2 linked regions of the Coturnix japonica genome follow. The protein of the gene in region 2 binds, or shares a complex with, the protein of the main gene of each other region. Links are inferred from orthologs where the notes say so. Each region holds a gene or a part of one and is shown on either strand. Other genes may lie near its edges.

Region 1 (4,525 bases), on a different chromosome or scaffold from region 2:
GCTTCGTTGGAACAGAAACCTATTTACTGCAATACTTTGAACTGATGCCACAAGGCAAAGTCACCTTATCAAATTAAGCCTTTAATAAGAAAAAAGAAAATAAAATCTTATGAAAATGTCACTGTTTTGTTAGCCACTCCATCTATTCTTTTAAATGAATGTTTTCATTAGGTTTGGTAATTCCTTCCACAACTGCAAGGCACAGAAAAGCAAGAATGACAATACACAAGCACACATCACACACAGTGAGATTCAACAATCAATAAGATGCGTGGCACTAAGGAGGTTCAGACAAAACAAAGAGGGGTGAGTTAAGATATACTGCAACTGGTTAAAATATACAGGGAGCAACTAGAAACCTAATCACAGAATCACAGAATCGTAGGGGTTGGAAGGGACCTCTAGAGATCATCGAGTCCAACCCCCCTGCCAAAGCAGGTTCCCTACACCATGTCACACAAGTAGGTGTCCAGGAGGGTCTTGAATATCTTTAGAGAAGGAGACTCCACCACCTCCCTGGGCAGCCTGTTCCAGTGCTCCGTCACCCTCACTGTAATTCTTTCTTCTCCACATTCGTGCGGAACTTCCTATGCTGTACTTTCATCCCATTACCCCTAGTCCTGTCCCCACGCACTACTGGAAAGAGACCAGCCTCACCACTATGGCTCCCACACCTCAGGTATTTATAATCACTGCAGAGAAGCAGAGCTTCAACATCACATGTGAGCATGTGCTCCCCTTCCTTCACAAGCAGCTTCCATTCCCCATAGGCAGCCTCAAGCAAAAGCTCTCAGGCTGTAGCACCTAGAGAGACATTTGACTGTCAACGTTTTGGGGCCATTTAAATTTCCATTTTCTGATGTCTGTGACCCAGCTCCCTTTTGGCTTCTAATTTTAGACTTTCTGCTGTAGAATTTAAGAGACAACAAAACCAGAGCTACGCCACGTGACAAGCTATTCTCTCTACACAGGATATCAGAATTCAGCTATACACAGTCACTGCAGTGCACTTCTAAACATGACTGCTTGCTCAACACCAGCCTTCAGGTGGTGCAGCAACAGAAGTTACAACTGCAGCTCTGATACCTAACAACGACTGATCGCTTCTATAGCATGTCAAGAAGAGGTTACCTCTGTGGCAATCAGATCTATCATTAGCTTGCCGTGCCTCCAACATCACCCTCAGTAAACCAACAAACAGGTACATCTAACAGCCCAGTATGAGCACAGACAGATGAAGTTCAAATTATTTTTAGCTACCTGAAACAAATACGGAGCAACAATACCTGTTGATGAAATATTAAGTGTGCTGTTTCCAATGCATCTCTAATGTTTACTTTCTTTTAAGGGAAAGTTGGAATCTCTCCCCATGGTGTGCATGAATAGCACACAGCTACCCTGAGGCACCACCATTTATACTGTATTTCACAGACAGAATCACAGAATGACCCGGGTTGGAAGGGACCTCAAGGATCATGTAGTTCCAACCCCCCTGCCTGGCAGGGCCACCAAACATACACCTTTACTAGATCAGGTTGCCCAGGGCCCCGTCCAACCTGGTCTTGAACACCTCCAAGGACGGGGCATCCACAGCCTCCCTGGGCAGCCTGTTCCAGGGCCTAACCACTCTCCTAGTGAAGAACTTCCCCCTAACATCCAACCTAAATCTTCCCTCTTTTAACTTAAAACCATTTCCCCGTGTCCTGCTATCGTCAGCCCTTTCGAAGAGTTTACTCCCCTCCTGGGTGTAGGTTCCCTTCAGGTATTGAAAGGCTGCAATGAGGTCACCCCGTAACCTTCTCTTCTCCAGGCTGAACAAGCCCAAAAGGCTGAACAGACCTTCAAAAGCAGTTCAGAACCCACATGGCAGCAGGGTTTGTTTCTTCATTTACAAGAAAACATACAGAACACAGCATAGATTGCAGTGCTAAAACCATGTTTCCACATACATGCCCTCAATAGGCAGAAGAGATGCTGCGCAGCTGCAAGTAAAGAAGCTAAACATGCAGAGAGAGCTCAAAAGACACGTGCTGATTGTACAACCCACAACATGGAACTCAAAACACATTTTCCAAGGCCACATAGAACACACGTGCGTTTTGCTGTGTGGGATGCAGACTGCTCAGCACCGGGAGGCAGCAACAAATATCACTTTCCAGTAGACACCCATCACAATTTCACCAGTGGAATTTCACTGCTCAGATGTTTATAAGTTCGGTGACAACTCAGGCTAGAATTCATGGAGATTACACGATGGCCTCACGGATCTTGTGAGTAATTAAATCATAAGCCTTAAGCTTGTGAAAGCTGTTCTTTCTAACTGCTGGCACTGAGGTAACTCAGGCACCGGGTCTGCCAACCAGATGCAGGCTGTCATTAACAGAGACGCAACGCACTCGAAGCACTTAGTCATCAGCCCACCACCAACCATTACAACAACAGCCACATTACTTTCAAGCCGCGCTTCCGCATCCCAAGACTCGAAGGAATAAATCGATCAAACAAGAACCGAGTGAGACCCCGAAGCACCATTCGGGCGAACTGAAGCCCAAATCAGCCTTCAGCTGTACCCCTAAAGGGGAACCACAGCCGCCCCCCCGCGCCCCCGGCCGGCCCGCACCTGCAGCGTGGTGATGTGCTTGTCGTTGAACTTGTTCTCGCAGTAGCGCAGCACCAGGGAGGTTTTCCCTACGCAGCCCTCCCCGAGAAGTACCACCTTGAACGAGAAGCTGCGACCTCCGGCCGCCGCCGCTCCGGCCCCCGCCGCCATCCGCGCCCCGCCGCCCGCCGGGCCGCCTCACATCCACCGCCCCGCTCTGCGGCCGCGGAACGCCGCCGCACGCAGGGATGAAGAGCGCAGGGGGCGGGAGGAAGGAATGGAGGAAGGAGTGCTGGAGAGACAACAAGCAGACACAGCCGCAAACACCTCCACACAACCAGCGGCCCCGCTGCCCCTAATGGCGTCTTCTTCCTCCTACGTCACGCACCGCCCGGTCACGCGCCGGCAATGGGAGGGGCGGGGAGCATTGAGCGTTTGGGCGCCATCTGTGGTGGGGTTCTGTGAGGGTGTGATGGAGGGAGGGTGTGCTCGGTGTTCCTCGTGAATAAGAGCAGTGAAGCACTCGAGGTTTACCAACAGATTAATTTACCCAAGACCAGGCTGCCCATGGCCCCATCCAACCTGACCTTGAGCACCTCTAGGGATGGGGCATCCACAGCCTCTCTGGGCAGCCTGTGGCAGCACCTCACCACTCTCATAGTAAAGAACTTCCCCCTGATATCCAATCTAAATCTTCCCACCTTCAACTTAAAACACACTTCACTTCTTGTTCTGTAGAACTCCTTGATCTCTGGGCTCCTTCCTGGAGTCAATGCTTTGTGTTGGAAGGGACCTTAAAGCTCATCCACTTCCAACCCCTGTATTTCTCCATCCAAGAACCGGGTAACTGTCCTGTCAAATTGAATATCCTTCCTAAATTAAAAGCATTCTGCACGTAGCAATCCAAACTGCTGCAATGTAACTCCTCTCTAGTGATCATTTAGCGGTAAGAAAAGTAATGCTTATGAAAAGGCATCACGGTGCAATTTCCTTTGTCAGATAAGACTAATGCTCTGTCGTGTGAGAACGAACGGAGGAAAGAACAGAGACCGCTTCCAGGAGAACAAAGATCAGATTTCCTGGAGCAAGAAGCCTCATTAATGAGCAGCATTACATTCACATAGAAAATGGATTTGTTTTTATTTCCCCCTAGATGTAAGCAGAGGAAACAGGACAAGGTGAAAAATCAATGCAGTCAAACTCTTCAAGGGTATCTTTCCTTTAAATGCGTTCCTAGTTTCATCAGCAAGTGAATTATTTCAGCAAGTTAGGATAAAAATACTGTCTTGCTGGAAAGTGATGCTGCTGTCAATCCTGCCCTCCATGCCTGAGCAGGAAACTACTAAAGTAAAACTTTACTAAGTCTTCTAGGCCAAATGGATGACGAAGTGAGATCTGCATAGATGAAGATTGCACACACAGTGGAAGTTGATGCTCAAGAGCACGAGCTGCTGGCACAGGTACAGAAGAGTCATCAGGGAGAGTCACTGCAAAGTCCACAAGCTGATGTTCCTGACCACAACTATGAGCACTGCTCTTCTAACAGAGCACAGCCAAGCATAAGACACAGTCTGGAGCTCAGTCCTGGCACAGTTCATTTCTCCAGTAGTCCTCTGCCACGGTGCACAGCCAGAAGATGCATCTTCCCGCTGACAATAAGCACTTTCAAGTTACTACTCCGTTCCATCATTCCTGTTTTCCTCTGTCTTACCTGAACCCTGTAGTTACAGATGTGTTTGTGTGGCAAAAGTTATAATACCCAAAACTTTAGCCACCTGCACTAAATGAAATTAAAAGGCTGATATGGTTGAGAAAGAAAATTCTGTATGAGCTATAAAAAGCATCACATTTGACTGTAATCTGATGTGTGTGACACTGAAATCTGCAAATCGAAATATCTGTGATAGTTATCGATTTATTTTAGTA
Region 2 (4,516 bases):
TCGTATTAATTCTTCTCATTAAAAAGTCATCAAAGTGCTGCAGAGTGTGTTCTCTGAACGCCTGACACAGCATCGCCCACTGACTCTGTCTGGTCTTTAATGGCCATCCCAGGAATGGGATTTTAGAGCAGGAGAAGCAGGAAAAGCCTAAGGAAATAATAGTGCAGTTTGCCTAAGGAAGGTGAGAATAATAGGGGTAGCCAACGGCTTCAAAGCTGCTGCTGCATCCCACATGAAGTGCTCAGAAACAGACAAAGTGCCTTATCTCAAAGCAAGAGAAAATATCTTTCTGGGTAAATGGTACAAAACGTAATCAGTGCTGAATCTGAAGAAGGAGATGATCTTTTAAGTGAACACCACACTAAAGTACCAGCTTGTAATGAACCAAAATACCATCCATCGTGCAGGAGGAGCTCATTCCAAAGAACCACCACTGACCCAAATGCCACAAACTTCTTCAGAGCCATCGAAGGGTTGAAAGAGCCGTGACTCACGTGGAGCCCTAAACGTTCAAGCGTGTAATTAGCAGAGAGCTAATGAAGCATGAGCTGGTTTCTTCCAAAGGAAAGGGTGGGGCAGCGTGATCTAACAGAGTCAGAAAATACAAGAGCCATTAAGCAACTTCAGAATTCAGAAAGAAATGCAAAGAATCTGTGTTTGCAGAACAGATTGCTTGAGTCTTCACCAAGTTGGGAGCATCTTCCTTGCAATTATGAGACTCCAGCTGTAACATCTGCATCCCAACATACACAGCAGAGGTTGTAGATTAATACTAATGAGAATATAAATGGTTGTTAACTGCAACCACAGACCCAGAGCATGATCAGCCACCTGAAACCAAGCAAACAGACTCAGACTGTAATCAAGCAGGGGAAATGGCAACCACTGCTTTAAACTCCTGGAGCCCAATGGCCGAGGGGCTTCAATGTCCTACCCACAGAGCTCAATTTCACAGACCGGTCAGGGCATCCCCCTTCTCCCCTCCCTGCATCAATGCAGACCTCAGGCTACAGTTTTACTTGCCCACATCAAAATCTTACATTGTGCCTGTAGCAATGACTGCTCTGCTGGAGGAGTGATGAATGAACAGACTCAGTGTCACCACATCCACGTGACTCATAAAGGCACTTTGAAATGAAATCACAAGAAACTGGGAATTTCAAGTGAGAGGGGGAGCCAGAACTTCTAAAACCTGCTCAGAAATAGCAGCTACCGGCTTCCACACACTCTGCTTATTGTGCCTGCACATAAACCTTACTCACTGGATACAAGTTCGGAAGTGAGAATGCTCCTGTCTCAATGAAAAACCTGAAATCACCTCACTTGGTGATTGCTTGTTGTGCAAGATGATATGAACTGATACCATTGACTTCATGTTCCTATTATTCTTCTATTTGCGTGCTGTTTTGGTGGGGTTTGCTCAGCAAAACATCATCCGAGTTACAACTGTCTTCCCAATCTTGTCTTCCCCTGCAAAACACTTGTGCAGCCCCATCCAGAAGGCTGACATGTATATGGTCCTCCCGGCAGGGCTGCTGCTGCCATGCACTGTCAAAGAACCACAGAATCATGTGGGTTGGAAGAGACATTTAAAGGTTATGTGGTCCCTCAGGGAACTCACAGCTCCATCAGGTGCTCACAGCCCCATCCAGGCTGAACTCCGGCTGTCTGCAGGGATGTGACATCCACCACCTCACTGGGCACTGAGTCAGAGCCTCATTGCCCATACAATAAAAGGCTTTTTCCTTACATCCAGTCTAAATATCCCCTCTTTTAGTTTGAGACCATTTCTCCTTGTCCTGTCACAACAGACTCCACTAGAGTCTGTCCCCTTCCACTTCCATCCACCTGCTGGCTGTGCTTCTCTCAGTGCAGCCCAAGAACACTGTCAGACACACAAAGGCACAGTTATCTGTGCTGCCATGCCTGGAAGGTGACCCAAATGAGCAAGAGAAGCCAAGAGCTTCTCCATACACATCCCAGACACCAACACAAGGAGCTGCCAACACACAGCGACGCTTCAAAGAGTTTCCCAACAGCGACAACAAAGCAGAACAGTGTCACCAACAGCCTTAAAGCTGAGCTGCTATTAGGAGCTATGTTCCCAGCACCGTGCAGCTCTACCAGCTCAGCTCCAAGCTCCATCCATCCCAAAGCACCGAGCGGGCTCTGCCACAACGTGCCCGGCTGACTCAGCACCGCACCCTAAGGCAGGTCATAGAATCACAGTGTTGTAGGGGTTGGAAGGGAACTCTAGAGATCATCCAGTCCAACCCCCTGCCAAAGCAGGCTCCCTACACCATGTCACACAGCTCGGCGTCCAGGCGGGTCTTAAATATCTCCAGAGAAGGAGACTCCACCACCTCCCTGTGCAGCCTGTTCCAGTGCTCCGTCACCCTCACTGTAAAGAAGTTCTTCCCAAATTCATGCAGAACTTCCTATGCTGTACTTTCATCCCATTACCCCTAGTCCTATCCCCACACACTACTGAAAAGAGACCAGCCTCACCACTATGGCTCCCACCCCTCAGGTATTTATAAACCTGGATCAAGTCCCCTCTCAGCCTTCTTTTCTCAAGGCTAAACAGACCCAGTTCCCTCAGTCTCTCCTCACAGGGGAGATGCTCCAGGCCCTTCACCATCTTAGTAGCCCTCCACTGGACTCTTTCCAAGAGATCCCTTTCTTTTTTATACTGAGGAGCTCAGAACTGGACACAATATTCCAGATGAGGCCTCACCAGGGCAGAGCAGAGGGGGAGGATCATTCGAACCACTGGATCACCTGGGCTCGGCCCTCACCTCCCTCACCCTCACCCTCATTGCGGCCCCGCGAGCCGGGCCTGGAGCGGGACAGAGAAAGAGACAGCCCAGGAGGGAGCGGCCCGGCTCCATCCGCTGAGGGCAGCGGGCAGCAGCTCACCGTTATCCCGGGGGTGGCGGGGCCGTCCCCCCGTCCCGCTCTGCTCCGCTCCCGGCGCTTCTTCCGATCGGCGGCCGAACGAGGAAACGGGGTCGGCGTCACTTCCTGGGCTGGGCCGGGCTGGGAGGAGCCGTTCGTTCATACACACCCGGCTGGGCCGGACACACACAGACACTCAATTGGGAATACAGCGAATCAAAAGGCTTTCGTTAAAGTCACAGTGAAAGTGTAGGGAAACCTAAAGAATGACTGAATTGAAATATTGAAGAGTCAAATAAACCTGAGTGATGTTCATCTCCCCCTTCCCAACACTGCTGTGTTTAACTATTCCAGCTCTGGATATGAAACTCAGCACCTGGCAGCCTTTATTCCAAATAAACACTTGGAAAGGGCTCATAAGAGCTTTACATCCCCATCTCTGAGAGGCAATTTAATAGCAATTCCTTAACCGCATAGAAGCGTGAACATCAATCAATGCAAACCATCAGCCTTTTCTATACATTTTATCATCAAGTTTTTAATCATTATTCTCACGTGAGTGATGCCTTTTAGTATCGCCATTAGTACATCTGTAAAGTCTTTTGGTCAGATGTTTAATTAAGAATCTTGGATGAGCGAAGCCAATGGGACACAATATGCAGACAAACTTCCCCTTCCTCCATAAGGTCACTGTGAGGCTGCCTCAAGTTGGGTCTTTTTGGACAACAGATGCATTTTCAGAGCCCCAAACAGCAGCATCTTCATATGGCTCCATCTATCCTTCAGTTTTGGACACATAGAAATGGGTAACTGGAGAAATATCAGGATAGGGATGAACAAAATGGGCTGGTATTGCACAAAGTGTCAGCAAGAATGTTGATGGAATGATGGAAGATGATGGTTTGAATGATGGAAGTGAGGAACGAAGCACTTGTGTCGTATCATGACTTGACCAGCTCCAGAACAAAGTTTAATAGCACAGAATGTAAAAAGAATCAGTAATAAAATAATACACGTTAAATACTCTTAATACTTCTGCTAATAGGAACATACACACGGAGTTACTCATTCACCAGAAGCCTCTGCAGATAGTCCTGATTCTATAGAGTTTCTTTTTGTAGGTACTGTAAACATTCAGAATTTCTAAGGCTAAAAACAGGCACCAGTCCTTCATGAACAGTAATTAATCCAAAAAGCAATAAGGAATATTCTTCCCAATCTGCTGTTCCTCTTAATAACGACAGAAACAACTAAATATTGTACTTCACAACGCAGGATTCTTAATTTAGAAAATATGCATATAGCTTCATCTTCACAACAATACTCCTCTATTGGTTTAATTGTCTATGACACCAAAGTTACACTTGCAGGATCTCAGTGCGGGGTGTTACTCAATCCATAAAGTGACAAGCTGAATGTAGTGACCGAAACACTCTGAAGTGGGTAAAATGGAACCACGTCCTGTCAGCATTCCTAGCACCTGAGGCTGAGATCCATGCCATCCACTTTGCAGACAACGGGACTGCAGCCACACAGTAGGTGGCACATTAAAACATAAAGGTTAGACACTGCTCTCCATCATTTCCATGAGGTGATTTTGTTTTGTGCCTCATTAAGG

The links.
Region 1: the proteins of RABGEF1 (region 2) and RAB21 are in contact, whole or in part, in a crystal structure (PDB 2OT3), measured with the Homo sapiens proteins. The link is inferred for Coturnix japonica from reciprocal best matches to the Homo sapiens genes RABGEF1 and RAB21. Residues at the interface, in NP_001273991.1 of Homo sapiens: Leu253, Cys254, Lys296, Phe299, Asn300, Lys303, Pro309, Ala310, Ser311, Ala312, Asp313, Phe315, Leu316, Pro317, Ile320, Leu347, Met348, Thr349, Gly350, Glu351, Gly353, Tyr354, Tyr355, Thr357, Asn358, Cys360, Cys361, Ala364, Phe365, Ser373; in NP_055814.1 of Homo sapiens: Ser19, Phe20, Lys21, Gly26, Glu27, Gly28, Lys32, Thr33, Leu37, Thr50, Thr51, Leu52, Gln53, Ala54, Ser55, Phe56, Ala71, Trp73, Asp74, Thr75, Ala76, Gly77, Gln78, Arg80, Phe81, Leu84, Ile87, Tyr88, Asp91.

The regions. Positions count from the first base shown.
Region 1 is NC_029516.1:33,033,956-33,038,480, reverse strand, and holds the start of RAB21 (ras-related protein Rab-21), read right to left. Parts: upstream 2,993-4,525; 5' UTR 2,771-2,992; coding exon 2,621-2,770; intron 1-2,620. UniProt on the Homo sapiens protein: The small GTPases Rab are key regulators of intracellular membrane trafficking, from the formation of transport vesicles to their fusion with membranes.
Region 2 is NC_029534.1:3,855,849-3,860,364, reverse strand, and holds the start of RABGEF1 (rab5 GDP/GTP exchange factor), read right to left. Parts: upstream 3,040-4,516; 5' UTR 2,920-3,039; intron 1-2,919. UniProt on the Homo sapiens protein: Rab effector protein acting as linker between gamma-adaptin, RAB4A or RAB5A. Involved in endocytic membrane fusion and membrane trafficking of recycling endosomes. Stimulates nucleotide exchange on RAB5A. Can act as a ubiquitin ligase.